Anolis sagrei: one gene and its partners. The protein of the gene in region 1 purifies or fractionates together with the protein of each later gene. This does not show direct contact. Links are inferred from orthologs where the notes say so. Each region holds a gene or a part of one and is shown on either strand. Other genes may lie near its edges. The genes, in order: UTRN, DTNA, MARK2 and SNTB1.

Region 1 (7,611 bases):
CCATGGGGTAGCCATAGGTTAACAGGCAACTTTAAAACACATAAACACATAAGGAATGAAGTAGTAGAGTAAGAAAAGAGGAAAACAACCTTGAAGGAGGATAGACTCAATAAAGAAATCCATGGCCCTAAATTGCAAGACTCAAGCGGGGTTATTAACCGGGTTCTCATTTGTAGGATCACCATACACCTAATCATACTTCATGGTAGTTAACAACAATTAATACATTTATTCTGTGCTGGCTGATCTTCACCCATCTATTCAAAGATTTCTTAGGAAGTCTTGAATCAGTCTGCAAGAGCACAAAACACTTCGTATTCAGAAGATCCAAGGTTCAGTGTCTGGTAGAACTGGGAAAAGTACCTGGAGAACTGCTTAGACTCCGTGCACAGGCCATACCAAACTAGATGGATGAATGGTGATTTATATAAACTGCCGTGTAGCTTCCTATATTCCTAAGCATAAGCTGAGGAGTTTTCTATTAGGGTATCTTTTAAATTTAACAGTTCAGTAAAAAATCATCCTCCCACTTCCAATTAATGATTGTTTAAGGGATTAATGCTTCTGTTTGTAAACTACTCTCTCAATATGAATGAAACAGTACTGTATTACCTTTCTGTTTAGTTCTGTATTTTATTTTAATTTTAAATAAGGATAGATTGCTATTGTCTAAAATAGTGTGCAAAGAGAAAATAGGCAGGAATAATTAGGTCCATTGTTCATATACTGTCTATAAACATTTTTTAATTTTAAAAAAATATTTCATTGTGACGTGTTTGAATTACATTTGAAAAACACAGTAAGTCTTCCACATTTACAGGTTTGACTTTTGAGGATTTTTTTTTATTTGCAAAGTTGATTATATTCATCTTAGATCCCTTCCAGACAGGCCCTATATCCCAGGATCTCATCCCAGTTTTTCTGCTTTAAATTGGATTATATGAGTCCGCATTACCAGATAATCTGGAATAAACAGAAAACCTGAGATCAGATCCTGGGATATAGGGCCTGACTGGAAGGACCCTTAGAAATCGTGGGCAGTGCATCTAATATAATACTGTCTTGCCACTGTCACAGGCACGATTGGCGGGGACAAGAGAGAGGGCCTTCCCAGAGATTGCCCCTTGGCTATGGCACTCCCTTCCTGGTGAGATTAGATCTTCAGAAGGATGGTAAAAACTTGGCTGTGGGACCAAGCTTTTGGTACAGTGCAATAGGAAACCTTACCATGCCGACTAGATTCAATATGGGTGATTGAGACGGTTTTATACCGTGGATTTTAATGCCAGATAAATTATTTTAATGCTTATGTATGAGTATAATTTATTTATGTTCTGGCATTGGGCGGAATATAAATGTTTTAAATAAATAAATAAATACTGTACAATATTTGTGCTTATAATACAGCATTCATACAGGGCTTATATTTGTGCTTATACAGTGACACGCACGTATAGCATACACAGTAATATAATATGTATCATATGAAGTGGGTATTTTGGGTATTGGGTTTTGGGATACATATACATGAATGTTTGAGTTCCACTTTTCAACCATTTCCATTTTTTGATGGCACTCTGACACTTAAACCGTCTAATAAACCGAAGATGCTTCTAGTGCAATAAATTGCATTTTATTGTACTTCTAGTACCTCTCCTCTTGCACCACCAGCATTCTGCTTCTAGTACAAGGTTTGTAACCTGGCTTCTGTGTGTTGTGGGATTTCAGCTATTGCAAGGACCAAAGATTTGGCATGTGAAGTTTCCAAAGGATTGAATGAGACACAGATGGATGAAGGCAAAGATCAGAGGCTTAATTCTCCTTGGCCAAAGAGGATGTCAGTAGAGTCAGCAGCACCCCAAAAAGTGACATAAGTGCAACTGCAAACATATAGAATTTTTTATAACACTTTGACAGCTATTCAAAACAGAGACTCTAGCATGCTGGCTGTTGATTGATGCAAAATGCTGCCAGCTAAATCCACCTCCTGATAGGTCCAAGAGCTCCATCCATTATCATAGCTGATTGGCTTCAGATGTGGGAAATGTAATAAACTATCATTGGGGTTTTTTGAAGGTTTGAGCCTGTTTATTGATCTCAGGGCAAAGGTGCAAGTAGAAAGGAATGTGGCTGGGCTAGAGATGATAGGCTGAAATGGTTCTGTTTCTACCAGGAAAATGGGTGGCAGCCAGGTACACAAAGTAGTGTCCAGGCTATTGGCACAGAAGTCTTGAGACCCCAGGGAAGGGGTCCATTCCAGGGACTGGGATGAGGAAACATTCCTAGGAACAAAATCAGACAATGTCTAGAAAAGCCCTATGGCTTATCCTAAGCCTGTTCTGTGTCCTGTCTCTCTCAGGGCATTGTGAAAGGATTATGATAACGAAATGTTTGGACATTCGCGGAGGTGTGTGTGGTGTGCACATAGTGCTTAAGCAACATTTAGGTGAGTTCATTGAAGGGTTGCCTGAAACTAGGGAAAGGGTCACCACAGACACCCTGTTGGTTCCTATGGAGACATGGATTCTTGGTTTCGTCTTTTGAGGTCTGGTTTTTGATAACATGTGCACAGAGGTGGCACATGTTATCACTTTCTGCATTTCTACCCTCTACTTGCAGGTAGAAATGCAGAATCACTGCACAACTGAAAAAAAAAGCAAATTAAAAACACACTTTAAAAAACCTGACAGAACACTTCTCTGGAAATCTTTATATGCTACAGTATAGCAGAAGTTGGCTACAGAATTGCACTGGAGGACCTAGATATTTCTAGAACAAATGTTTCAATCAAATCCATAATGATCAAATCTGTAAACATTAAAACCAATAACACATGGAGAGCCAGTTGTGATTTGCATGCATAACATGCCTGAAAAACAGACCTGTTCATTGATTTCCATTCTAAAACCCTTCTTGAAGCCCACTCAACTCTCAACACCAGCTGGAATGGGACTCACTTTGGGGTCAGGACCCAAAACTTAAGAAGCAGTGTTCCAGAGCCTCAAGACTCTGAGCCACATTAGGTCAAGGTTGGTTCCTCTTTTGTACATATCCGCATCCCATCCACACCTGATGAAAAATTAGATGTGGTGTGATGTAGTAGCCTGAGTGCTCTCCATGCAATTTTTCAATTCTGCCACAAAGCTCATGAGGTGGTTTGGGTCACAGGGATCATCTACAGCAGGCATGGGGAAACTTTGGCCCTCCGGGTGTTTTGGACTTCAACTTGGCTAATAGGAATTGTGGGACTTGAAGTCCAAAACACCCGGAGGGCCAAAGTTTGCCCCTTCCTGATCTACAGTATTAATGCAGTTTGACAACCACTTTAACTGCCAGGGTTCAATGCTGTGCAATACCGGGAGTTGTAGTTTTACAAGCTTTTCACTGTCTCTGCCACCAAAGCCTCACCAGACTCCAAATTCCAGGACTCCATAGCCTTGAGCCATGGCAGTTCAATCTGTGTTGTCAAAGGCTTTCATGGCTGGAGTCACTGGGTTGTTGTGAATCTTCCAGACTGTATGGCCATATACCAGAAGCATTCTCTCCTGACGTTTCACCGACATCTATGGCAGGCATCCTCAGAGGTTGTGAGGTTTGTTGGAAACAAAGCAAGTGGGGTTTATATATCTGTGAAGTGTCCAGGGTGGGAGAAAGAACTCTTGTCTGCTCAAGGCAAGTGTGAATATTGCAATAGATCACCTTGATTATCACTGAATGGCCTTGCAGCTTCAAGACTTGGCTGCTTCCTGTCTGTTTTCTGAGTGTTGTTCTTTATTTAGTGTCCTGATTTTAGAGTTTGTAAATACTAGTAGCCATATTTTGTTCATTTTCCTGTTTTTTTCCCCTTTCTGTTGAAATTGTCCACGTTTGTGGATGAAAATGAATAAAATCCGGCTACCAGTATTTAAATGAGCTTTCACCCACTCTGGACATTCCAGAGATATATAAACCTCACTTGCCTAGTTTCCAAAAGACCTCACCACCTCTGAGGATGCCTGTCATAGATGTGGGCGAAACGTCAGGAGAGAATGCTTCTGGGACATGGCCATACAGCTTGGAAAACTCAACAGCAACCCAGTTCAAACTGTATTACTTCTTTTCTGCCTCTCCGACGGGGAGGAGGCGGGACGGACAGCCTTCAGCTGGGAGGAAAAGAAAATTACAAAAACAAAAAAAAAGAAAAAGAAAAACCTAGTGTCTGGGGCTGATTGACAGGCCGGCAGGTCACGTGACACTCTCTGCCACGCCGCGAACCTCCTTGGAGGGAGGGGACGAAGGGATGAGTTCGGTGAGCGCGCGCGCGCGGATGCTCGTGCACGCGGCTCCGGGAGCAAACTTCCCAGCGCAGCAGAAAGTTTGCTGAGAAGGCGGGAACGCGCCTCAAGGGGAGGAGGAAGGAGAGGAGGGGGGCGGGTGTGGGCGCGCGCAACCACCTGGGTGCCTTGTCAGCGCCGCCTTCTCCTTTGGCTTTGCGGGACAGAAGAGGCAGAGCCTGGGCCAAAGAGTCGCCAAAGCTGGCTGGCCCGGAGCCCCTTCCTCCCCTCCCTTCCTAACAAACAAAGGCAGACTCCAGAGGAGGAGGAGGAGGAGGAGGAGGAGGAAGAGGCGCGCCGGGTGCAGGAGCCGCCTCGGTCCGTCTGTCCGTCCCCTTGCTTGCTTGCTGCGAAGTTGAGCCCTTGCGGGAGGGAAAGAAGGAGGGAGGGAGGGAGGGAGGAAAGGAGGCGCTTCTTCCTCCTCCCCTTCCTCCTCCTCCTCCTCCTCCTCCTCCCACAGGGCTCCAGAAAGTGAGAGGAGAGGCGCTTAGGCTGCGCAACTCCACCAAGGAACGAAAGTCAGCGGATTGGGAGGAAACTTTGCCTTCTTCCTCCAGGAACTTTTTGGAAGAGGCTTTGGCGCTGAGTTTGGAGGAAGAGAGAGAGAAATAGGTGGACTCTCCGCACCGCATGGGACCCTGCGGGAGGTGAAGCCTCTGGCGGGGTTGGTGTGCAGGCAGGTAAGCTGGGCGATGATTGACAGGCGGGTGGGGTGGGGTGGGGTGGGAGGGGAGGGGAGGGGAGGGGGGCAGGAGGGCCGACAGGGGAGGAGAAAAGGACCTCATCCCTCCCTCCATAGCCTCCCCCCTCCCTTCACCATAGACCTATCTGGCCGACCCTCAATGGGAGAGGCTTAGGTTGCATCCACATTGTGGAATGAATGCACTTTGGCACCACTTGGACTGCCAGGGCTCCATGCTGTGGGATCCTAGAGTTTGCAGTTTGAGGAGGCCCCAGCACTCTTTGGCAGAGAAGGAGAAAGACCATGTAAAACTTCATCTCCGCAGCACAGAGCCATCTTTGATGTGGGGACAGTTAGTCCAAAATTTCCTTGTCTGATAAAACAGAATAGGCCACCCTCAATTTTTTTCCATGTCAGGAGTGACTTGAGAAACTGCAAGTCGCTTCTGATGTGAGAGAATTGGCTGTCTGCAAGGAAGTTGCCCAGGGGACATTGGATGTTTTACAATCCTGTGGGAGCCATCTCTCTTGGTCTGCATGAGGAGCTGGAGCTGACAGACAGGAGCTCAACCCGGTCCCCAGATTTGAACTGCCGACATTTCGATCAGCAGCCCTGCTGGCTGTCCATCCAACAGCATTCACTTTCACCAAGGATTAGGAAAGTCAACAGATAAGTGATAATGTTTGAGTGGGAGCTCACCCCATTTTGTTTGGAAGAGGTCTTGACTTGTGCCTTCAAGGCCCCCAATTGGCTTGTATCCCCCCAAAACCCCACACACAGATGGCCTTCCATTGCTCCTGTTTGCCTTCAAGTCCTTCCCCACTAAGGGTGACCCTTGAGACAAGCAACGGTTACTGTTTTTCCTTCAGGGATATTCAAACCCTGGTCCCCAAAGTTCTAGTCCAGCATTGAAACCACAGAGTGCATCTATGCCAGGGATAGGCCAGCTTGGGCCCTCCAGGTGTTCAACCCCCGCCATTCCTAACAGCCTCAGGCTCCTTCCTTTCCCCCCTCAGCCGCTTAAGGAAAGAGACTGAGGATGTTAGGAATGGCGACACTTGAAGTCCAAAACACCTGGAGGGCCCAAGTTGGCCTATGCCTGATCTATGCTGTAGAACAGACATGGACAAACTTCAGCCCTCCAGGTGTTTTGGACTGCAACTTCACAGTTCCTCACACCTGGAGGGCTGAAGTTTGCCCATCCTTGCTGTAGAATTAATGCAGTTTGGTCAAACTTGAATTGCCGTGACTCAATGCTATGGAATTATGGAATCTGTTAGGTTTGGCCTTACTTATTTTTCTTGGCCTTCCTCGGAGGATGGGAGAGTTTGACTGGTTCAGAGCCACATTGTGAGTTTTCATGGCTGAGTGAGGATTGGAAGCCCTGCTCCTTAGCGTCCTAATCCAACACTCAAACTATAGCAATTATCTGCACCGTAGAATGAATGCAGCTTGACAAGACCTTAATTGCCATGGCTCAGTGCTATGGAATCTTGGGAGTTATAGTTTGGTGAAGCATCAGCACTCTTTGGCAGGGAAGGCAAAAGACCTTGTGAAACTAAATCTCCCAGGATTCCATAGCACTGAGCCTGGGCAGATAATGTGGTGTCAGGCTTTCATTGAAGGTGGAGCCCCAGTAGCTCAGTGGGTTAAACCAGTGGTTCTCAACCTGTGGGTCCCCAGATGTTTTGGCCTTCAACTCCCAGAAACTTCTGGGAGTTGTAGGCCAAAACACATGGGGACACACAGGTTGAGAACCACTGGGTTAAACTCTTGTGCGGCAGGGCTGCTGACTAAAAGGTTGAAAGGTCAGTGGTTTGAATCCAGGGAATGGGGTGAGCTCCTGTCTGTCAGCTGCAGCTCCTCATGTGGGAACATGAGGATGGTGAAATATTTGGGCACCCCCTGGGCAATGTCCTTGCAGACTGCCAATTCTCTCACACCAGAAGTGACTTGTGGTTTCTCAAGTTGCATCTGACACACGGGAAAAAAACCCAGGGTGGCCTATTCTGTTTTATCAGACTAGGAATTTTTGGACTACTTGTCCTTCCCCCAGTTCAATAAATGCCATGTTTCTTTAGAAAATGTTAGCACACAATTCTCTTGCCTTTGAGAGACTTAACAAATTTGGGGTGGTCTAAGCTTCCATGGATTAGTGAGGCCCCTTCATCAGGTGATTTGGTCAGAGTGGGCTGGGGAAATGCTTCTAGTCCTTTTGCCTCCTAGTTCTGTGCGAGTATGTATCTACTTATAGGGTGGATTAAAGGATACTTCCATGCAAGCAGCTTTTCGTTCCTCTGCCCTAGTCAGCTTTCAATGTGCTTGTGTGCATAGGTACATAGGAGATAGGTGGTTGTGATGGTCCTAAAAGGCCATTAAGCTTTTGTAAAATAATTCCTTCTTTAGCTAATTGGTAGGAGTTCTCCATGGAGCAAAGGCATTACAAAATTTTCATAGCTAGCCTTACCATTAAGTAGAGTGAGGCAGACACCTCAGGCAATGGATTTGGGGTGTGCCGTGAAAAGGCAGAAAATTGTTAGTTATTTAATTCATTATGTTCGTATTTTTATTACCAGGAAAGGAGGAGGCGTTTTGAGACTTTCTGCCGCTGGTGCC
Region 2 (8,480 bases), on another chromosome or scaffold:
CTGTGCAACTCTAGCAGAAGTGCCTTATTTGTGATTGTTGGAGAGTTTTGTTTCTTTATTACCCAGAAAACATCAAGTTGAGTTAAAATACAAAATTTAGTGATTATCAAAGGCAATGGAGCTTCAGGGCTTCTGGCACTGGTAGTGTTGTTGGTGGTGTGTGTGTACCCTCCAACTGTCCCCATTTTGTAAGGTCAGTTCTATCAACCCTCAACCCCATTTTTCAGCTGTTTTTAACATGCCTCCAGTTTCTCTCTTCTCCTATCATTTGTCCTGTTGCCATCAATTGCTGCAAATAGATCTTAACATACAAAAATAATATGTATATGATGATCACAGAATTTTGGTAGCAATTAAATTCCCTCACAGGGAAATCCTGGAAATTTCTTTAATGCTAGGTTACTACTATACAGCAAAATTATGAATGAAGAATCCACCAAAACCCAACCCCCACCCCCAACTCCCAAAAGTTCCTCCATCCAACCTCCAGACCTTCCAGTCCAAGCCAATTCATGTTATCAGGCTCCTTCCCACTCAAGGCCTCCTGATGTTTTAATTCCTTGACCTTGGCTATGAAACGCATGGCATGGAGGTGTCCATGACACAGTATTTTGATAATTTGGCGGAAGGGAAAGGGGTCAGGAAAGCAAGCTCCTGCAGTCTCTGCCAGCTTGTCTGCTCTTCAACATTCATAATGTTTGCTTCTAAGGTTAATTGACTAGTGTATGTCCCAGTTTTCATTCATTGTAGGATATATCAGTTAGTCTAAGGAATGGGAAATAGATGTCATTACACATGTTGCTGAGCTATAAAGTCCAAGCAGCTTTAGCAAGCATAACCAGTGGTGAGGCCTCCTGGTAGCTGAAGTCCTACAATGTTTTGTGGACTTTTTGATTCCCAACTCTGCTGTGTAGTAAGCAAAGACATTGAAGCCTAACACTTTGTGAAGTCAAAAGAGAAACAAAGAAAGGGAATGTCTTGTTACCCTCTGGTTGAGACCTTTAATAATTGCAGATCGCTACAAGTCCTTTCAGGGAATGGAATGCAAATAAACTGTGACAGTCTCAGAATTAGAAGTTTAGTATCTATAAAACTTCCAGAGAGAGATAGTGGTAGAGTTACTTCTGGTCGTTTTTATAACCCCATCTCTCACAGGATATAAGCAAGTTTTACGCATTTACAAAAATGAGAGGTGACATGGAAGGAAATTGTTACTAGCCCTTCGTGCATCATCCGGCTTGGATTCTCGTAAGTGCGGATTTCCCCTCTCCTTGACCACGGACTGTTTCTGACAACGATGCTACCTTTGGGACTTTGGAATCTTCATCTGGGATTTCTTCAACTTGGGACTGTTTTTGGACGACAGCTTTTCTTCATGGCTCTTTGTTTTACCATTATCTTTGAACTGTGTGATTTTGGTGTGTTTTGAACTAACACTGGTTTAATCCGATTTTTTGCAAGTTTAATCCAGTTTATTTTCCAAGTTATTTATTTATTTTATTTACTTTATTTGTATACCGCACTCTCTCAGCCCATAGGCGACTCAGTGCGGTTTACAACCAAACCAATATACAAAGTGCACAACATTAGCAATTAAAACAGTAACTAAGGCAACTACATCAATATAACAATACATCAGTACATCAATCTAACATCAATACATCCATATAACTAATCCATCACGTCTCATCAGTAAAGTCATAATCTGATCTCCTCATCCATTATTCCAAGTTCCAAGATCAATCAATTAATTAAGTTCATTTTTTAAGCTGCAAGTTGCTGCAAACTTTGAGTTTTGACCAGAGACACTGAGGCAAGTGTCTCTGAGTCCTGTTTACTTTGATTTAATAAACTGTTGTTTTGAATACTTCCTTGTGTCTGGCTCTTTAAGGCATCTGGGTTCCGGCAGATAGTGTACATTGAATTTTTTAGTTCTTAGGTAGCTAATTCTCTAAAATACTGTTTCAAAATGTTTCAAAGCCTTTTGAGTATCAAACAAAATAAGCAAGCAAGCAGGCAAAGTAAATCCAGTTGTTAGTCTTGCCTTCAGTTAAACTGTCTCTGAACTGAAGTTTGGTACAGTGTACATTTCCAGGTGACCGAAGCAAGCTCAAAAGCAAGCTCCACTGCAGCTGATTTTATATGTGGTAGGTTTGTATCAGATTGCAGCCTTACTCAGTAGTTCAGGATTAATATCTATCATTTGTGGCAGGTATATCTAATTGGAATATTGTACTAGATTCGTAAACATTTGACAAAGTCTTTCCCAACTTGTCATCAAAGTGTCTGGGCCATGTTTCCATTTGAAATTCCAAACTGATTGCTCTCAGAAAGGACAAGCAACAACCAGACCTAACTCAACACAAAACCATGGTAGATGCCTCGAGATGCCACATAACATTCTTAGTTATTGTCAGGATGGCAGCAGCAACTTGTCGAGTCAAAAGGCAAAATTCCAAAAAGTTTGTTTTAGAAATAAAAAGGGGACATTATAAATCTGGGAAATCATGCCCCCGGTGGTACAGTGGATTAAACCCTTGTGCTGGCAGGACTGAAGACCGACAGATCACAGGTTCGAATTCAGGGAAAACATGGATGAGCTACCTCTGTAAGCCCCAGCTCCCCGTGCAGAGACATGAGAGAAACCTCCCACAAGGATCGTAAAGCATCAGAATATCCGGGTGTCTCCTGGGCAACATCCTTGCAGAAGGCCAATTCTCTCAAACCAGAAGCGACTTGCAGTTTCTCAAGTCTCTCCTGAGATGAAAAAAAAATCCTGCTGGGTGCCCCAAAAGTTGAAAGAGTTTATCTAAGCATCATAACAGTTTGGGAATTTTTTTGTTTAATAATCTTTATTTAATTTTTAAAGAGTACATTAAAAATAGTATAGCATAAAAATATGGTGGTCTTTAAATAAAGAAAGTTATATAGAGTTAAAGATACAGATAAAGATTCGTGTGGGATATGATAAAAGGGAATTGGAGGGTGGGGGGGGGGGGGTAGAAAGATATGACAAAATGGCAGTGTGAAAAGATACAAAGATTAGCTGATAATAAGTGGGAAGTAGGAAGATATATAGAAAGATAGCATTGAAAAAACAGATAAGAACGTAGATGTCTTGGTTTCCCAGTGTTTTGTCTGAGGTTCTCTCCATTTCCTTTCTTTTCCTTTTACTTACTTGTTTTTTCTCTTTCTCCCTCCCTTCATTTTTCCCATTTCTTTCTCTTGTCTAAATAAGTTTGGGAAATAATTTTAATGGGCTAACAAAGAGGAGTGACCTCTCTAAGATACGACTGTTAAGATTCGTAAAGCAGGGGAATAATTGGGAAAACAGGAAAGGGCTAAAAGACTGCCACTCAGATTCCCGAACTTAAAGGAGGGTCTGGAAAATATCTTTCCTAAGTGAGATTTGTGAGGTGAAATGGGTGGCCAAGAAATAAAAATAGATTCAGTGGATGATTAGTTGCAGATCCAGACTGCAATAGGCACATTCCCCATGGCAAGAACATCAGAACAGCCCTGTTAGATCAGGACAAATCTCTCCCAATCTGCCATTCTGATCTCAGAATGGGAATATCTATAGGAAGTCCACCAGCAGAACACAATTGCTCTAGGACATTAATGGTTGTGTTCCCTCATAAATGAACGTACTGAAAGGCATGCCTCTTCTGAAAGTAATAGCCATTGTTGTCCTCCATTATTTTTTTTATAATCCTTCCTAAAAACGATCAATGTTAGCGGCCATGACTATCTTTTAATGTTGAATTCCACAGCTTCCCTTTACATGGTATAAAGGTACTTGCCCTCAGTCTCAACTATTCAGTTTAATTGGAATAATCTAGGATTTTAGCATGAGAAAAGGAAGACATATTCTTCTCCCCTTTCTCCCCATGCAGAATAGGCACACTTAGTCATTAGCTAATATTAGATTTGGCAGCAGTATTAGATTTCAGCTACCTCTTTCTTGGAAATCGGCTTGGCATCATTCCCTGATGTTTCTGTACCAGCCTGTTTTTCTAAATCCATTAATAATTTTTCTTAAAGTGCTATGGAGAAGACAAGATATCTATAAAGCTTACATTTTTTTCAGCTTTCCCAAAAGCGAATTACAGTATTCTTACATGACTTTAAGTAAGATTAGACAAATGTATAGCAGGTAGATCTACCAAAAGCTAGTAACACTAATTACTAAAAATTACGAGTGTAGACATACATTGAATCCAAGTGCTTGATTGTATTAAAACCTTCTGATAGCTTCAGAATATAATCCAAAAGACAAAATAATAATTAGTTCAAGAACTTACTAGATTTGCAGGTAAGCAGATTTATGCCACTAGTTTCCACATAGTATATGGAGGGAATGCCCCTTCGGAGATTGTGAATGCAGTGTCTTAATGCTGCTGATACAATGCAATTCTAAATGTTATTATAACTGCAGTTTTAAGTAACGCTTTCATGGAAATAAATTTCATTGACATATAGGGCTCTTACAAACAGGCATGTTTATTTATTTAGGTGTTCTTGTCTCTCTTTCCAAGAGAGAATGCCCTCAAAAAAGTGCTTTGGGATCCAGATGTAGATAGATGCTGTTCATTTTGGTAATACGGATGTTCCAATTGTGACATAGAGTGGGTGTTGCTCTTTTCACTCAGCTCTGGGATTCTCTATATGCTCAGTGATGTAGAGCACATAATTACGCATGTTCTTAAGGCCGGGTAGCTCCTGTCCTCTGTTGCCGCAGGCTCTCAGGAATGTCACTTGCAGAACATTCCTTTCCTGGGCAGCCAAGTTTGGAAGCTAGTTTATTCCTGGCTGCAAAACTGCAGTAATGCCTGAATGAGAGACATGGCAGGAGGGCTTCAATTTCTGCCTGTACCCAAACACCAAGGAGAAGCAGTGAGAGCGTCTTCTTTCATCTTGCCGAGACAGGTAACAACAACCGCAGAAGCAGCAGCTGTCTGGGGCTCTCCAAAGGAGGGAAAGTGAGGGAGGTGGAGTAACAGGGGGTGGGGGAGAGAAGAGAAAGGGAGTGGATCTGAGTGCTTGTGATTGGTAAGCCTCATGAAGGCATCTGCCAGCAGGACTTCAGAGGAATGTGAAACCAAATCATTTACAAGTTAAAGATAGAACCAAGAGTACATAGCATCTTGGGCACTAGTTTCAACTTAGTCTCTTGAAGACTGTTGCCTTGGGAGTTTTCTTTTCACTGCCTCCAAGGCACCTCAGTTTTTATTCTATCAGACTCTCATTTAGTGTTTTGGAATAACTAGGAGTGTGTAAGAAGATCATGGTGCATGCTGCAGGGTAAGTAACAAGCTTCATTTGAACTCCTTATTTCTTTTACCATGCTTGTTCAGCTTCTGGTCTGAACGTTACAGGGAGGCATGCCTACAGGTAATGTTCCCTGTTTGCCCCTTCAGAGTGCATGCCTCAGCGAATTGGCATTATACAACTTTTCTTGTTGTGGCATGCATGAAGACATATTTAGATTGAAAGCAGTGTTTCTTTCCTGCTAGATTTATTTTGCCCTAATGGTGTGCTAAATCTTTTTGTTTCAATTGCAGAATGAAAAGCACTTCGGCCATAGTAAATTTAGGAGCAAATTCGTATTTCTGTGTATATAGCATAGTAGCAGGCTATCCTAGATGCATCTTAGTGCCTCCTGTTATTCTATTCTGATTCTGGCACTGGTTCTGTGTAGCTTGGGAACACAAATAGATTTTTGTATCCCCAAGCTTCAGTTTGGCTTTTTTGGCAGGGTATTTCACTGTGGACTGTTTAGTTTTTTTGTCTGTGCATTTATGCTCCATTAGAAATATGCAGTAATCAAGAGTGATCTTTTGGTTAATTGAACAAAAGTAAGCAAGTGCTTGTTTATTAGATGAGTCTACTTATCTTCATTTGAATTGTAACATTACGTCCAGCTATTTATGTGTATATTCCAGTGAGGTTGGTAGATCTTTTGGAAGAAAATACTTACGTTATTTACATGTGAGAAAGAGATTTAATGGAATTATTTTAAAAACAATATTATTTAAAAAATGACACAGAGGAAGGAAGGATCCAGGCATATTATTTACTTCCTTGCCAAAATGAAATGTAATGCATAGGCTGTGCTTTACTTCATTGGTGTTTGTTAAATATTGGTCTCCTATGAAGTCATTTGTAGCTTGCACTTTTATTATGGTGTAAAATATTTCCTCCACTCCATTAATAATATTACATTTTTGAAATTTTATCTGTAACAAGGCTTTTTGCACTAGCTGTAGGAGGCAAAATGTTTTTTTTTATGGAGATATAAAATTACTGTTCCTCTGCTTGCATTTTAGAGAGCTCTTAAATTTCACAAAGATATCTTCAACTTGAAAATATGAGGAGAAACACTTGGCTACAACTCAAATCATTTTTGAACAGAAAATCTTCTGCACCTGACATTCTGTTCCTTTTCTTTGATAACTAATTCCATAAGTCACAGTGCTCAAGAGAATTGGGAGGAGGAGTGTATAAATAGCAAAAATAAAACTGAATATATGCAGTCGTTGCTTTTCCCCTGGTGACCATGACCGAGAGGAAGTAGAAATAATTTGCAAGAACAAAATGCAAAATGGAGGGGAGGAATGTGGGGATTATAATGTGCTGAATGGGATCTTAACTTAATACTTCTAATCTTCAGATTTTTGTGTACTGCTGTATGTATAATCATAGTATTTTAAGCTTTGTGACTCACAAAGTAGACTGAACAACCCCAACCTGGTCAGCCATTAGGCTACTTAGTGAACGGGTACAGTTCCAATTTTAGAAGTGGACGGGGCAGTGTTGGCACTATACCTTGTTGTAAAGTCAAGTTGGGAACAAATACTTTTGAAATTGGTCTGGGTCAGGTGCTTGTAGCTTTTCAATTCTAGGCATAACTTAGTAATTTAAATATGCATATTCTTAGAATCTAGAAAACTCTGTAAGAGATTTATACTAAACTGTTAAAACATGTATTTAGGGCATAGCCCAGCCAAAATTAATCCCTTTTATACTGAAGCTCTATGCACATGAACCTGGAAATAAGCAATGTTGAAAATATTTGTCTTTATTTCCTAACTAAACATCCATAGGATTGCATTATTATTCCCACTCATTTCAGAGCTAAACAGATGTTTAACTCTTATTCATATCAGTGGAACATTCATCTGTGTTGTAGCTGGATTTTGCCAGAAGATTTTGCTCATACTTAAATGTATACTCTCCTTTCCTTCTGTGTATAACATACATAGGGAAACAGTACTTGAGCATACTCACATCTAGTGAAAAGTCACTCTGTAAGATTTCCTGGTTTCCTCTAATAGAGGATGATGTATGTGTCATGTATGTGCATATGGGATAGAGCAAATAGAGCAATGAGACTTTCTCAGGCCCCTTCCACACAGCTGAATAAAATCCCACGATATCTGCTTTGAATTGGAATATATGTCATTGTGTACTCAGATAACCCAGTTTCTGCCTTGATATTCTGGGTTATATGACTGTGTGGAGGGGCCCTCAGTCATTGGTGTCCAAATCCTGGTAAAGCCTTTCCAGAGCAGTATGCCTACCTACATTCCTTTGCAATGTTAGGTCAGTAGTGAAGATTTCTATTGAACCATACTTTTAATTAAATGTTTTGACTACATCCAGACAAGTTCCTACTGCTAGCAATAAAAAAGACATTATTCAGCTGTACTATCAATCCCTTTTTGACAGAAAAAAAGATAAAAGGGCAGGAAAACACATCAGGGTTATAAATGGAAGATACCTGAAACACCCTTCCCCCCAGCTCTGTGAATGAAGAGAAACAATTACACCATAAAGGTTTTATTTGGAAGTATCCTACTTCTTTTACAGTGTTTCAAACGGATGCTGCTTTTGTAATGTAATCATTTATTGTGTGTTAAAATCCATGGATTTTCTGGTTTAGCTAATCACATTCAAGCCACCTTGAATGTAGTTTGTTGTTTATATAACAACAACAGCCACAACAATAGATAATCATTTTCCTATACTGTATGACCACCATATCCATAGGGGATACATTTCTGGACTTAACAAAGTTAGTGAAAATAATCAATAATAAGGAACCCTATTGGATGAACTACTTCCAGTAGATATATAGTATAAACTCATGCTGGAGGACCTCAGAAATGCCTAGAGTTGACACCTCTTTGAAGATTGTCAGGTTGTTTAGCATGGCTCCATGATCAACTTCTAGTGGAAACAAACCATGGAGTCAGAATGCCCTTTATGCCTCATCTTGCCTCATCCTGCATGAAAAATACATTCTCTGATTCTGAGCTTTAGTTCTTTCCAAATCAGGAATACTTATGTGTTGTGGTTATAACTGCACATGATACAAAACAATAAGGAGATTGAAAGGAAAGATTGTCTACAATGTGCTAGGAATGCAGTGGGCGAATCCTACAACAAAACCAGAAATAATTCTTTCATTGACATGA
Region 3 (7,603 bases), on another chromosome or scaffold:
CCCTCATAGAATCCTAGAGTTTGGAGGGACCCTCAAAGGCCATCCAGTCCAACCCCTTTTTCTGCAATGCAGGAAAAGCACCATCAAAGCCCTCCCGGCAGATGACCATCCAGCCTTATAATGAATTGCAATGAATTTTATTGTACGGTCACAAACTAGGAGTCCTCTATAATCCTAGAGTTGGAAGGGATCCCCAAAGGCCATCCAGTCCAACCCCTTTTCCTGCCATGCAGAGAAAGCACCATCAAAGCCCTCCCAACAGATGGCCATCCAGCCTAATAGGGTTTTAAAGTTGGAAGGGACCCCCAAAGGCCATCCAGTCTGACCTCTTTTTTCTACTGTGCAGGAAAAGCACCACCAATGCCCTCCCAACAGATGGCCATTGAGTTGGAAGGGATCCCCAAAGGCCATACAGTCCAATTCCTTTTTCTGCCATGCATATAAAGCACAATGAAAGCCCTATCGACAGATGGCCACCCAGCCTCATAGAATTCTAGAGTTGGGAGGGACCCCCAAAGGCCATCCAGTCCAACCCCTTTTTCTGTCATGCAGGAAAAGCAGAATGAAAGACCTCCCAATAGATGGCCATCCAGCCTCATAGAAATCCTAGAGTTAGGATCCCCAAAGGCCACCCTGTCTGACCCCTTTTTCTGCAGTGCAGGAAAAACACCATTGAAGCCCTCCTGACAGATGACCACCCAGCCTCATTGAGTCCTAGAGTTGTAAGGCACCCCCAAAGGCCATCCAATCCAACCCCTTTTTCTGCACAATGAAAGCCCTCCTGACAGATAGCCATCCAGGCTCATAGACTCCTAGAGTTGGAAGGGACCCCCAAAGCCCATTCAGTCTGACCTCTTTTTCTGCCATGCATATAAAGCACAATCAAAGCCCTCCCAACAGATGGCCATCCAGCCTCTTAATGGTGCACACAGTGGTCAGCATCTATAGAATTAGAAAAGTATGCATCTCATTCTGATAATTTTCCAGTCCGTTGTTGATGGAGTTCATTGTGCTAGAGTAGTAGCAATAATAATAATAATAATAATAATAATAATAATAATAATAATAATAATAATAATAACAACAACAACAACAAAAACAACAAGATAAAATGCTATTTCAGTATGTAATGTTCAACAGTGACCACAGGATGGCAGCAAAGAGTAAGAGCCTATGTCTTACACAGAACTCTGCAGCCGGCTGTACTAAAAGGGTGCAATATTCCACTTCGGCCACGCGATGGCAGCAAAGGACCGTACATTGGATCTGCAGAGCCTTGGGCAAAAGGCAACTCTAAGGGAGAGATCGAGAGGGTGTAATATTCAGTGTGTCCACTGGAGGGAGGCAAAGGGACCAGTCATTAGGGCAATGCAGAAGCTCATTGGGGATGATGAGGTCAGTTGTCCTATTCCTCTAATAATAGATTAATCTATTATTAATAATAACAATTAATCTATTAATAATATTAGATTAGTGCCCCATTTGGGTTTATCTGGATTATAATTCCCATTTCAGTTCTATTAGAGTCCAGTTTTAAATAAAATAATAATAATAAAAAAATGAAAAATGAAAAAATAAAATAGTAAAATAAAAAATAAAATAAATAATGATAAAGATAAATAAATAAAAGTAATAAAATAAATAATAAATAGAAACAGAAATAAATGAAGATAATAAAATAAATAGAAATAGAAATAAATAAAAATCTAATTATAATAATAAACAATTATAAAGATAAATAAATAAATAAATAAAGATAAATAAAGAATAAATAGAAATAGAAATAAATAAAAATCTGATAATAATAATGTTAAAGATAAATAAAAATAATAAAATAAATAATAAAAATAAATAGAAATAAATAAAAAATCTAATTATAATAATAAATAATTATAAAGATAAATAAATAAAAATCTAATTATTATAATAAATAATTATAAAGATAAAGAAAGATAAATAAATAATAAAAATAAATAATGATTAAGATAAATAAATAAAAATAATAAAACAAATAATAAAAATCAATAGAAATAGAAATAATTAAAAATCTCATTATAATAATAAATAATGATAAAGATAAATAAATAAATAATAGAATAAATAAAATAAATAGAAATAGAAATAAATGAAAATCTAATTATAATAATCTCCAGCAAAGGATCATAAATAATAAAAATCAATAGAAATAGAAATAAATAAAAATCTGGTTATAATAATAAATGATAAAGATAAAAAATAAATGAAAACAGTAAAATAAATAATAAAAATAAACAGATAAAGATAAATAAATAAAAATAATAAAATAAATAATAAAAAGAAAAAGGAATAGAAATAAATAAAAATCTAATTATAATAATAAAAATGATAAAGATAAATAAATAAATAATAGAATAAATAAAATAAATAGAAATAGAAATAAATAAAAATCTAATTGTAATAATAAATAATGATAAAGATAAATAAATAAAAATAATAAAATAAAAGTAAACAATGATAAAGATAAATAAATAAAAATAATAAAATAAATAATAGAAATAAAAAGAAATAGAAATAAATAAAAATCTGATTATAATAATAAAAATGATAAAGATAAATAAATAATAGAATAAATAAAATAAATAGAAATAGAAATAAATAAAAATCTAATTATAATAATAAATAATTTTAAAGATAAATAAATAAATCAAAATAACAAAATAAATAATAAAAATATATAGAACCAGCACAATTAGATGCCACGTGTATATATATATATATATATATATATATATACATATATCAGTTAAAAGCAATTAAATTACATCATAAATACATATAAAACCATAAAAGCAATAAAAACTATATAAATCTATAAAACCAATATCTTCCGGTTCTATTCTCATCTGTTTACATTGTCTTAGCCATTCCATGTTTATATACCTATTTGAATTTACACTGAAGTTCCAAATGCTTTCTCAAAAAGTCAGGTCTTCGATCTTTTCTAAAAGGCCAGGAGGGAGGGGGCTGATCTAATATCCTTGAGCAGGGAGTTCCACAGCTGAGGGGCCACCACTGAGAAGGCCCTGTCTCTCATCTAAATAATACTAATACATTAAAATGCTAGTACTACTAAATATTTATTTATTTACACCATTTCTACCTCGACTTTCTCCACTCGAAAGGGGACTCTAGATGGCTTTACAACATGTGATGTCATTAAAACAATGTAAAAATTATAATAAACATTTAAAAAATCTTATAATAGAAAGCATATAATAATAATGATGATGATGATGATAATAATAATAATAATAATAATAAATGGTTCTATTTGGTTTAGAAATCACATCTTAGTCCTATGAGGGCCCCATTTTTGGCCCTTTGTGGATCAGAAATCCCATTTCAGAGCCCCAGTTTGGTAATATCTGGATTGGAAACCCCATTTTAGTCCTATTAGAGCCCCATTTTGGTTCTACCTGGGATATAAATCTAATTTCAGTCCTATTAGAGTCCAGTTTTGCTCCTATGTGGATTAGAAATCCCATTGGATCCTATTTCAACCCCATTTTGGGCCTATCTGGATGGGAAATCCCATCTGAACATGAGAAAGAACTTCCTGACTGTGATAGGGGTTCAGCAGTGGAACTCTCTGCCCCGGAGTGTGGTGGAGGCTCCTTCTTTGGAAGCTTTTAAACAGAGGCTGGATGGCCATCTGTCGGGGGTGATTTGAATGCAATATTCCTGCTTTTTGACAGAATGGGGTTGGACTGGACGGCCCATGACTGTGAGAGCCGTTCAGCAGTGGAACTCTCTGCCCCGGAGTGTGGTGGAGGCTCCTTCTTTGGAAGTTTTTAAACAGAGGCTGGATGGCCATCTGCCGGGGGTGCTTTGAATGCAATATTCCTGCTTTTTGACAGAATGGGGTTGGACTGGATGGCCCATGAGGTCTCTTCCAACTCTTTGATTCTATGATTGCAGTCCTTATTATTATTATTATTATTATTATTATTATTATTATTATTATTATTATTATTATTATTATTATTATTGTTTTGGTCCTTCCTGCAGTGTCGGTTTCTGGCCACCAGGGGGCAAGCTGTTTCCTGCAGCTTCAATAGGATTCATTCGGTTGTTTCCGTACACTCTGAGCTCAACTCGCTCGGCTATTTCCGTATTGTGCGCCTGCAGTGTCAGTCACTGGCCACAAGGGGGCGGAGGATCCCTGCCTGTTTCCTGCATCCCAGGTTCATGGACCAGAAGGCAGTTTCGATAGTACTCATTCGGTTGTTTCCGTACACTCGCTCGGCTATTTCCGTATTATGCGAGCCGAAACCTGTTCGGCTATTTCCGCCTCCTTTCCGAACCGCTTGGGGAAGGTTTTCTCGAAGTTGCCCTCTTTCAGTGCCAAAGCTTTGGCCACGCCCCCGCCTGCCTTTCGTGGACCAATCAACTTTGTCCATCCCTTTTCGGCTCTTTCCGTACACCGTGGGACTTTTCCCGCCTGGATCGTGCGTTTCCGGAAAGTCGGCGGAACTTCCCGAAGCCCGGCGGCGGCGGCCATGTTGGGAGCCGCCGCTGTGTGAAGCAGAGCGGCGGTGAGTGGAGCTCGGGCACCGGGGCGGCGAAGGGAAGGGGAAGTCCGTGCCCGGCCTGGGAGGCCAAGGCGGGCGTCGGAGTTGTTCGCAGCAGCCCGGCATTGACTTTGGTTGACAGGGTCCCTCCGTTGGGAGCTTTCGGACCGGTGCGGCCTAGCTCCCGAGCCGCATCCCCGGCCTCGCGTGAAACGTCAAGCCGGGCATCCTTCACTCGAGCCCGGGGAAGGGGGGAACTCTTACACTGGTGTTTTTCCAACCGAGCCTGGTTGTTCCCCATGCTGGTGGCTTGGCCTCCCCCCTCGCCTTGAGGAGGAAGAAGAAGAGGGACCAGGCTCCTTCCCTTTGGGCCAGAAAGCAGGAAAGAGGAAGGAGGCAGCAGCAGCTGGGGGGGCCACCGCCCCTCAGGCCCTGCCACAGGCAGCCATGTCCAACAGCGGACGGAGCCCCTTGCCCACCTTGACGGAGAACACCGAGCAGGTAAGCAGAGAGAAAGAGTATCCACGAGGGGCCTCTTCTAGGCCCCCAAAGGCAGGACTGGCAGTCCCCGAGTTACGAACGAGACCGGGTCTGTAGCCTTGCTCTTAAGTTGAACACCTATGGAAGTCAGAACAGGTACATTTTAAAAGTGTCACTCCATCCAAATGTATATATTATATTACTAGTCATTCCCTGGAAAATAAAGTAACGAGAAAGTGCTGGTTTCTAATATATGTCATTTCTCTACATTTTAAAAAGTGTCACTCCATCCAAATCTATATATTATATTACTTGCCATTCCCTGCCAGGCGTTGCTGTGGAAAATAAAGTAATGAGAAAGTGCTGGTTTCTAATATATGTCATTTCTTTACAGTTTAAAAGTATCACTCCATCCAAATGTATATATTATATTACTACCCATTCCCTGCCAGGCGTTGCTGTGGAAAATAAAGTAATGAGAAAGTGTTGGTTTCTAATATATGTAATTTCTGGCCGGGGTGGTCCATGCCTTGGCCACCTCCAGATTGGACTACTGCAATGCGCTCTACGTGGGGCTGCCCTTGAAAACGGCTCGGAAGTTCCAACTGGTCCAACGAGCAGCAGCCAGGATGTTAACTGGGGCCCCTTACAGAGAGAGGTCAACCCTCCTGTTCAAGGAGCTCCACTGGCTGCCGTTTATTTTCCGAGCCCAAAATAAGGTGCAGGCGCTTATCTACAAAGCCCTGAACGGTTTGGGACCATCCTACCTGCGTGACCGCATCTCCGTCTATGAACCCACACGTGCACTTCAGTCATCTGGAGAGGCCCTGCTCGTGATCCCGCCTGCTTCACAAGCGCAGTTGGTGGGGACACGAGACAGGGCCTTTTCTGTGGTGGCCCCCCGACTCTGGAACGCCCTCCCCAAAGATCTTAGACAGGCCCCTACACTGGCAGTCTTTAGAAAGAACTTGAAGACCTGGCTGTTCCGATGTGCCTTCCCAGATTAGGAAATCTCCAATACCAAGTCCCATAAGATTGCTGCACATCGCACACTGCACTTGCCCTATAAGCCTTATATTCCACCTGTCACATCAGCACTTTTAATCCTGTACCCATTACTCTGGCCCGGCCCAGTTTTATTGTGTCTTAGTGTATTGTTTATTGCTTGTTGTTTGTATTGCTTTAATTGTTTTTAATTTGCCTTACGTTTTGTATTGTTATATTGTGTGTTGAGGCCTTGGCCTTTGTAAGCCGCATCGAGTCCTTCGGGAGATGCTAGCGGGGTACAAATAAAGTTTAATAATAATAATAATTATTATTATTATTTCTTTATATTTTAAAAGTGTCACTCCATCCAAATGTATATATTATATTACTAGCCATTCCCTGCCAGGCGTTGCTGTGGCCCAGTCTGGTGATCTGGAAAATAAAGTAATGAGAAAGTGTTGGTTTCTAATATATGTCATTTCTTTATGCTTGTGGGTACATTTTAAAAGTGTAACTCCATCCAAATCTATATATTATACTAGTCGCCCCCTGCCACGCGTTGCTGTGGCCAACATGGGGGTTCTGTGTATACTCAAGTATAAGCCGAGATTTTCAGCCCTGTTTTAGGCTGAAAAAGCCCCCCTTGGCTTATACTCGAGTTAAGGTTATTTATTATTTTATTACTTTATTTTTATTTCATTTTACAAGCCGTCCCCTGCCACGCGTTGCTGTGGCCGACATGGGGGTTCTGTGTGGGAGGTTTGGCCCAATTCTATCGTTGGTGGGATTCAGAATGTTCTGTGGTTGTAGGTGAACTATAAATCCCAGCAACCACAACTCCCGAATGTCAAGATTCTATTTTCCTCAAACTCCACCAGTGTTCACATTTGGGCATATTGAGTATTCATGTAGAGTTTGGTCCAGATCCAACATTGTTTGAGTCCACAGTACTCTCTGGATGTGGGTGAACTACAACTCCAAAACCAAAGGACACTGCCCACCAAACCCTTCCAGTATTTTCTGTTGGTCATGGGAGAACTGTGTGCCAAGTTTGGTTCAATTCCATCATTGGTGGGGTTCAGAATGCTCTTTGTGATTGCAGGCGAACTCTAAATCCCAGCAACTACAACTCCCAAATGACAAAATCAATTTTTTTGAGTGAAGGACATACATTGGGTTGTTAGGTGTCTTGTGTCCAGATTTGGTGTCAATTCATCCAGTGGTTTTTGAGTTCTGTTAATCCCACAAAGGAACATTACATTTTTATTTATATAGATTATTAGCCATTCCCTGCCAGGCGTTGCTGTGGAAAATAAAGTAACGAGAAAGTGCTGGTTTCTAATATATGTAATTTCTTTACATTTTAAAAGTGTCACTCCATCCAAATCTATATATTATATTACTAGCCATTCCCTGCAAGGCGTTGCTGTGGAAAATAAAGTAATGAGAAAGTGCTGGTTTCTAATATATGTAATTTCTTTCTGCTTGTGGGTAAACACTATTTGGTTACGTTTTCTTGCCCTAGTGAAGGGAGTTGGACTGGATGGCATTAAGTATTTTCTATTGCAGTGGTTCTCAACCTGGGC
Region 4 (8,377 bases), on another chromosome or scaffold:
ACTGGCACACTGGGTGCAGTTGCTAAAGACCTTGGCCTGCACTTAAAAACAATCAGTGCTGAAAAAATTACCATCTGCCAGCTATAAATGGCCATCCTACTCAGATCTGCACACATTATTCACTGATACATCACATAGTCACTAGATACTTGGGAAGTGTCTGATGTGTGATCAAATACAAAAGCCAGCATAGTGATCTTGTTTGCTGCGTACTAATCTTGTTATGTATCACATAATAATCTTTATTTGTATCCCAACCCATCTTCCCTCTGGGGACTCACAAATAAAATGGCAGCAATCCAATGCCAAAAGTACATAATAAATAAACCAAATAATTAATATAACACAGGTAAACAAGTTAAACAAGAACATGATAAAAGAGTTTTTAAAGAATGGCTCTTCTGTCTCCAACTAGTGTTCACAACTGTTTGCACAAGTCTGTAATAAGCAGGTGTGCAGAAGGCATGTTCTCTCACCAGTCACACACTCACTCAATGGGAACCAAGGATGTTCAAAACAAGAAACTGCTAAATTATGGGTGTAGTCTAACAAATTCAGGTGTTGCTAGTTTTGGAAACCAGCAGCAGTCACTTAACACAATTCTAAAAGTAGCAGTAACAGCAACATGAAAAGTACTAATAATATAGGGTGGTGTAAAATAAAAATGCAGTAGACAGTTTCAGTAGAGTTCTGCATTAATAAAGACCAATTAAAACATGACAAAATATAGGCAAGTTTCCATGTTCCCTAGAGCTAAAATATGAAATTTTCCATTAAAGTCAGAACCAGAGCACACAGTTCCCCTTCTGATGACACTGGACTACAATTCCCATTTGCTGGCCCTACCCAATACAGATCATGATGAAGGGTACAGCTTGCAAATATATGTGTTTCCAAGTTGCTTACTGACTTGTATTCTCATGTATTTCATCGGGTTTTCTTAGGCAAGTAATACTCAGAAGTTGTTTTGCCAGTTTCTTCCTCTGGAATATAACCTGTAGTTCCTGGTATTCCTTGGTGCCCCCCCCCCATCCCAGTAGTAACCAGGTCTGAGCCTGCTTAGCTTCCAGACAGAACCCCAAAGGTCCCATTTTGTGGTCGAAACTCTCAAATTGCTCCAAACCAGCATGACACTTTCGCAAGAGACTTGAATTGGGAAACACAGATTTCCAGTGCCGTGCCCCACTGCATTGCTTCCGGACTGAGCCGAGATTGCATCACAAGTCAAGGCAATAAAATCAGGAACAATTCATAAAAGCGGCCTTTATTTCCTAGGGCATCCTAGCCTGCTTTTTCCAGTGCACATAACACACCCACACCTGGGGCAAGGAGTGAAGAAACACAGCAGAGAAAGTCCTTATATCTGGAATCTTTTATTTGGAAATGCAAAATACTCCAAAATCTGAGTTGCTGAGATAGTGCCTATTTCCTTTCTGAAGAGGCAGTGGATAAACACCTGTCTTCATGCCTCAAATTATATAATATTATAGCCAAACATACATTCAGGTGATATGTTTGAACTGTCTGTGAAATATGTAAGTGAATTTCTTGTTGGGACTTGAGTCTGAACTCCAAAATATCACATTATGAATAAGCAAATATTCTGAAATGGGGTCGGGGAATCAACATAATCCCAAATGCTTCTGGTTCCAAATATTTTGGATAAAGGAAACTCAACCTGGGGAAAGTCAGCATGGGATAGTGATTTGAGTGTTGGTCTAAGACTCCGGAGACATTCCTGTTTGGCTATAGAAAGCAGAGTGGGCTCCCGTCTGTCAGCTTCCCATGCGGTGACATGAATGAGGCCGCCCACAGGATGGTAAAACATCCGAGTGTGACCTTGGCAATGTCCTTGTAGATGACCAATTCTCTCACAGCAGAAGCAACTTGCAGTTTCTCAAGTCACTCCAGTACTACTACTACTATTACTACTACTACTACTAATAATAATAATAATAATAATAATAATAATAATAATAATAATAAATAGATAGTCATCAGAAAGCTTGGGCAAGTCATGTTCTCTCAGTCTCAGAGGAAAACAATGCCAACCCCCTTCTGAACAGCTGTTGCCAAGGAAATCATATAACCTTATAGTTGCCATAAGTGTGTCTAAAAGCATATTCAGGTGACATATTCAAGGTGTCTACAAAACAAAAAATGAATTTCCTATTGGGGCTTGGGTCCCAGTCCAATATGTCTCACTATTAACATGCAACTATCCCAAAATCTGGGGGGGGGGGGGGAGAGGGGGATCCAAAACACTTCTGGTTTGCTGCTAAGGTACAGCCAATGTGGTCTGATCAAGTCTGGAGACCAGGGTTTGATTTCTTACTGGGTGATTTAGGGCAAATCTCAGCTCCAGATCATTCTGTATGAGAGTTGTCTTAAGTCTAAATGACTTGAAGGAAGGCAACAACAACAGTGGAAACTAAGGAGACCGCTCCTGAGGCACTTTTGCATCACCTCTCGTAATCTCTCTACATTGTAGAATTAATTTTGTTTTCTCCTTCGTAGTCTCTGTGAAAGGTTAGGTTTTAAATGCGTCATGGTGTCATTGTTTTTAGTGTTTTATTGTTTTGCTTGCTGTTTTTTTATTTGCTTATGAATTTTATTGTTGTATTTGTATGCTGTTGTTTGTTGGTGGCCTTGAACTTTGTAAGCCGCATCGAGTCCTTTGGGAGATTTTGCGGGGTATAAATAAAGTTAATAAATAAATAATAATAAATGCATACATATGGTAGTTGATGCACCATATGTGTGAATTTCACAGATGACCACTCAAAGAAACATGTTTACAGGAAAGCAACCATCATTTCTCCTTCGTGGTCTCTGTGAAATACACAAATATGGTGCATCAGCTACCATATGTGCGAATTTAACAGATGACCACTCAAGGAAACATGGCTACAGGTAAGTGACCATCATTCACCCCACTTGAACTGCCATGGCTCAATGGTATGGAATGATGGGAGTTGTAATTTTACAAAGATTCCCACCTTTTCCATCCAAGAGACTGGGAGATTGGCACCCACCAAACTGCAATCCTATGATTTCATAGCATTCAGCCATGGCATTTAAACTATGCTGCAAATAAATACTCTGCGGGGGGGGGGGGGGGGCTTGTGCTGAACTCCATGCATTTCACATGCATCTACACTGTAAAAAAATAATGCATTTTGACACCACTTGTACTGCCATGGCCCAATGCTATGAAACCATGGGAAATATAGTTTTACAAAATCTTTTGCCTTCTATGTGCAGGTGTACGCCGTACAATGCAACAGTGCAAACTATAACTTATATGAGATCCTCTCACCTTTGCAGGAGTCTACTTACACCATGCAGCTGTGGACAAGTCTACATAGGGACCACCAAATGTAGCATTGGCCAAACACAGGCTGTATGGCCATGTTCCAAAAGCATTATCTGCTGATGTTTCACCTACATCTATGGCAAGCATCCTCAGCAGTTGTGAGGTCTGTTGGAAAGTGAAGTTTATCTGTAGTAAGGGCCAGAGTGGTAGAAAGAGCTCTTGTATGTTGGAGGCAGGTGTGTTTGTTGCAATTGGCTACTTTGATTAGCATTTAATGGCCTTGCATTTTCAAGATCAGGCTGCTTCCTGCCTGAGGGAATTCTTTGTTGGGAGGTGTTAGTTGGCCCTGATTGATTCTTGTCTGGAATTCCCCTGCCTTTTGAGTCTTGCTCTTTATTTAGTGTCCTGATTTTAGAGGTCTTTTAAAAATACTGGTAGCCAGATTCCCCCAGGAAGCTACCAACCAGGCTTTGAAGCTGCAAGGCCACTAATGCTAATCAAGGTGATTATTTGCAACACTCACACCTGCCTCAATCAGACAAGAGTTCTGGCTGGTTGCTGCCTGGGGGGATCCCTTGCTGGGAGGTGTTACCTGGCCCTGATTGATTATTGTCTGGAATTCCCCTGCTTTTTGAGTCTTGCTGTTGATTTACTGTCCTGATTTTAGAGTATCTGAATCCAGACTGTCATATATTCCAGTTAAAAGCAGATGATGTGGGATTTTATTCAGCTGTGTGGAAAGGGCCTTGGACCTCATCACACTCAAGAATGAATCCACTTTATATCCAGTTGCTGCCTCCTGCAGAATTCTGGGCATTGTAGTTTAAGGAGGATCATAGAATCATAGAGTTGGAAGAGACCTCGTGGACCATTCAGTCCAACCCCCACCAAGAAGGGAAATCGCATTCAAAGCACCCCCGACAGATGGCCATCCAGCTTCTGTTTAAAAGCTTCCAAAGAAGGAGCCTCCACCACACTCCGGAGCAGAGAGTTCCACTGCTGAACAGCTCTCACAGTCAGGAAGTTCTTCCTCATGTTCAGCTGGAATCTCCTTTCCTGTAGTTTGAAGCCATTATTCCGCATCCTAGTCTTCAGGACAGCAGAAAACAAGCTTGCTCCCTCCTCCCAATGACTTCCTCTCAAGTATTTATACATGGCTATCATATCTCCTCTCAGCCTTCTCTTCTTCAGGCTAAACATGCCCAAGTCTTTAAGCCGCTCCTCATAGGGCTTGTTCTCCAGACCTTTGATCATTTTAGTTGCCCTCCTCTGGACACATTCCAGCGTCTCAATATTTCCCTTCAATTGTGGTGCCCAGAATTGGACACAATATTCCAGATGTAAACAATATTCCAGAGGAGCCTTTAGCAGCCTCACTGAACTACAAACCCCAGAATTCTCTAGGAGGCAGAAACCGGATTTAAAGCGGATTCATTCTCTAGTGTGATGAGGTCAAAAGTGGTGTCAAACGGTAGGCATCCGATAGTGAATATTTGCGACGTTCCTCAATGGCACTCTCTCGTGATTTTTTCCCCATTCAGGTTTGAAAGGAGAGTGTGAGAGCGCATGGGATGCCGTCCACAGACTCCACGCCGCTTCCATTGCGCGGGCTCAATGCTTTGGGTTCTTGGGATGTATAGTTTGGGGAGGCACCGGCACGTTTGGGCAGGAAAGCACCGTGCAAAGCTGCAAGTCCCAACCAAAGTATTGAAACGGGGCGCTTGAAGCGGTGCCAAGGAAGTGCCCTCTTTCTCTCCCAACTCCACTCCGCGCCGACTTGGGCTTCTCCTTCTCCCTCCCCACTTCGCTTGGCTTTCTTGGCCCGCTCCTCCCCTTCGGCGGGAGTGCTTTGGGGCTGGCCCTCCTCCTCCCGGAGCCTCTCTCTCTCTCTCAACCTCTCTCTCTCTTTCCTCCACTCTTTCTCTTTCTCTCTCTTTTCCCGGAGGCGAAAGTCCTGCGCGCCGTGCGCCTTTCTCTCTCCTCCCGGCGCTCGCCGCTTTCCGAAGCGCTCCCTCCTCCTTCCGGGGTGTCGTGGGGATCCCCGAAGTGCCAGGGCTTTTGGGGAGCAATGCTCCAAAGATGGCGGTAGCAGCGGCGTCCGGAGGTGGCCTTTGGGGACCCAACCGGAGCGGCGCGCTGGAAGTTTTGGTGCGCGACCGCTGGCACCGGGTCTTGGTGAGCCTGGGCGAGGAGGCGCTGGTCCTGAGCGCCGAGGAGGGGGGCGGCGGAGAAGGCGGCCTCTACAACGGGCTCGGGGCGCCGGGCAGCCCTAGCCATGGCCCCAGAGCGGGCTCGGACTCGGCTTCCGTCCGGACGGCGTTCACGGACCTGCCCGAGCAAGTGCCCGAAGCCTTAGCCAACGCCAAGCGGCGCGTCAAGGTGCTCAAGCAGGAGGCGGGCGGCTTGGGCATCAGCATCAAGGGCGGCAAGGAGAACAAGATGCCCATCCTGGTCAGCAAGATCTTCAAGGGACTGGCCGCCGACCAGACCCAGGCGCTCTACGTGGGCGACGCCATCCTCGCCGTCAACGGCGCAGACCTCCGCGACGCCACCCACGACGAGGCCGTGCAGGCGCTCAAGCGGGCCGGGAGGGAGGTCCTCCTCGAAGGTAGGGCTGAGGCTCCTGCTCCTCCTGGGCAGCATCCGGCAGGGCTTGGCACCTCACTGCCTTAGGCGAGCCCTCCGTGTCCCAGTAGGATAGTCTTCCAAGATACCCTAGCTGGCTGTGGAGCCCTATTCTTGACCCGCATCTTCACCCGCAGTGAGGGCATTGGTTTCCAGGTGGGGGTTGGCTTGACACGCCTTCCTCTTGGCACGTTTCTCTCTTTCACCCTCCATTCGTCCCTCATCAAATTCTACAGCACTGCTGGTCACAGCTGACCTCCAGCTGGAGCAGTCAAGGGCCAGGGCTTCCCAGTTCTCAGTGTCTATGACAGAGTTTTTTAAGGTTCACTTTGAGTCCATCTTTCAATCTCTTTTCCTGCCCACCAACATTCCGTTTTCCATTCTTGAGTTCGGAGTAGAACAACTGCTTTGGGAGATGGTGGTCGGGCATCCGGACAACGTGGCCGGTCCAGCGGAGTTGATGGCAGAAGACCATCGCTTCAATGCTGGTGGTCTTTGCTTCTTCCAGCACACTGAAGGAGCCCCCGGTGGCGCAGTGGGTTAAACCCCTGTGCCGGCAGGACTGAAGACCGACAGGTCACAGGTTCAAATCCAGGGAGAGGTGGATGAGCTCCCTCTATCAGCTCCAGCTCCTCATGCGGGGACAAGGATGATAAAAATATCAAATCATCCAGGCATCCCCTGGGCAACGTCCTTGCAGATGGCCAATTCTCTCACACCAGGAGTCACTCCTGACATGACAAAAAAAAAAAAAAGCATGCTGACGTTTGTCCGCATGTCTTCCCAAGAGATTTGCAGTTTTTCCCGAAGGCAGTGCTGATGGCATCATTCCAGGAGTTGCATGTGATGTATGTAGACAGTCCACGTCTCACAGGCATATAGCAGGGTTGGGAGGACAATAGCTTTATAAACAAGCACCTTGGTATCCCTACAGATGCCCCGGTCCTCAAACACTCTCTGCTTCATTCAGAAAAATGGTGCACTCGCAGAGCTCAGGTGGCATTGCATTTCAGTGTCAATGTTGACTTTTGTGGAGAGGTGGTAATGTTACACCATTAAGCTGTATTTCTGGCATTGGAGAGGGATTGGCTGGGGACTGCTGGAACAGCACAATTGTTTTTTCAGCACCCCCATTCCAAGGGAGCGAGCAAGGAGCTTTGGGGGAAAGCAGGCTGAACACAAGGCAATCTGGTATTTCTTTATTTATCGTGTCAGAAGCAAACCAAACAGTTGTATTGTATTTTTTTAAAAAACACAAAGTTTGCAAACTTGGCATTCTATTTATTTATACCCCATGCTTTTCGCAATAATGGGAGTTAAAGAAGCTTTGCAATTGTGTGCCTTTCTGGAGGTTGCAAAAGTATGATAGCTGGGACCCTACGCTAGTAGCTGGGATCCTACACTGGTTGCGCAACGCGGGGGCAGGATTAATGAAGGGAAGTAATGTTAGAGGTATTTGCTGTGAAATGATAAACAATGGCTTACGAAGACGGTAAACGGGGTAGGAATGTTTCCTCTTTCCCTTTCTGGTGAACAATGTTTCCAGTATTCTGACGTAGCAGTGTCTCTTACTTGCTCTGCTGTCTCACACACTTCTTCCCTTCCTTAATTCACAGCTGCGTTATGCAACTAGCGTAGTGTTGGGTCCCAGCTATCATACTTTTGCCCTGAAGGTTTTCACCCTTCAGTGAGTGACTGCATCTGCAATTATTGTGATTGTTGTCGTTTATTCGTTCAGTCACTTCTGACTCTTCGTGACCTCATGGACCAGCCCAGGCCAGAGCTCCTTGTCGGCCTATCACTACCTCCAGCTCCTTCAAGATCAATCCAGTCACTTCAGGGATCCCATCCATTCATCTTGCCCTTGGTTGGCCCCTCTTCCTTTTTCCTGCAATTTCTCCCAGCATCATAGTCTTCTCCAAGCTTTCCTGACTTATCATGATGTAGCCAAAGTACTTCCACTGTGCCTCTACTATCCTTTCCTCCAGTGAGCAGTCGGGCTTTATTTCCCGAAGTATGGACTGGTTGGATCTTCTCGCAGTCCAAGGAACTCTCAGAATTTTCCTCGAACACGACAGTTCAGAAGCGTCTATCTTCCTTCGCTCAACCTTCCTTATGGTCCTGTTCGCACATCCGTAGGTTACTACGGGGAATACCATTGCTTTAACTGTGTGGTTCTTCGTTGCCAGTGTGATGTCTCTACTCTTCACTATTTTATTAAGATTGGTCATTGCTCTCCTCCCAAGAACTACACATCTCCTGCTGGCTGCAGTCTGTGTCTGCAGTAATCTTTGTGCCTAGAAATACAAAGTCTGTCACTGCCTCCACTTTTTCTCCCTCTATTTGCCAGTTATCAATCAGTCCGGTTGCCAGAATCTTGGGTTTTTTTTAAATGTTTCAACTGCAACCCAGCTTTTGCACTTTCTTCTTTCACCT

Evidence for each region.
Region 2: the proteins of UTRN (region 1) and DTNA purify together in Homo sapiens (affinity purification with mass spectrometry; 3 studies listed by BioGRID and IntAct, with this or other methods). This does not show direct contact. The link is inferred for Anolis sagrei from reciprocal best matches to the Homo sapiens genes UTRN and DTNA.
Region 3: the proteins of UTRN (region 1) and MARK2 purify together in Homo sapiens (affinity purification with mass spectrometry; 4 studies listed by BioGRID and IntAct, with this or other methods). This does not show direct contact. The link is inferred for Anolis sagrei from reciprocal best matches to the Homo sapiens genes UTRN and MARK2.
Region 4: the proteins of UTRN (region 1) and SNTB1 purify together in Homo sapiens (affinity purification with mass spectrometry; 3 studies listed by BioGRID and IntAct, with this or other methods). This does not show direct contact. The link is inferred for Anolis sagrei from reciprocal best matches to the Homo sapiens genes UTRN and SNTB1.

What each region holds. Positions count from the first base shown.
Region 1 is NC_090021.1:76,107,402-76,115,012, reverse strand, and holds the start of UTRN (utrophin), read left to right. Parts: upstream 1-4,410; 5' UTR 4,411-4,993; intron 4,994-7,611.
Region 2 is NC_090024.1:54,069,925-54,078,404, reverse strand, and holds the start of DTNA (dystrobrevin alpha), read left to right. Parts: upstream 1-5,078; 5' UTR 5,079-5,287; coding exon 5,288-5,304; intron 5,305-8,480. UniProt on the Homo sapiens protein: May be involved in the formation and stability of synapses as well as being involved in the clustering of nicotinic acetylcholine receptors.
Region 3 is NC_090032.1:14,867,613-14,875,215, forward strand, and holds the start of MARK2 (serine/threonine-protein kinase MARK2), read left to right. Parts: upstream 1-4,500; 5' UTR 4,501-4,997; coding exon 4,998-5,051; intron 5,052-7,603. UniProt on the Homo sapiens protein: Serine/threonine-protein kinase. Involved in cell polarity and microtubule dynamics regulation. Phosphorylates CRTC2/TORC2, DCX, HDAC7, KIF13B, MAP2, MAP4 and RAB11FIP2. Phosphorylates the microtubule-associated protein MAPT/TAU.
Region 4 is NC_090024.1:21,345,277-21,353,653, forward strand, and holds the start of SNTB1 (beta-1-syntrophin), read left to right. Parts: upstream 1-5,167; 5' UTR 5,168-5,395; coding exon 5,396-5,924; intron 5,925-8,377. UniProt on the Homo sapiens protein: Adapter protein that binds to and probably organizes the subcellular localization of a variety of membrane proteins. May link various receptors to the actin cytoskeleton and the dystrophin glycoprotein complex.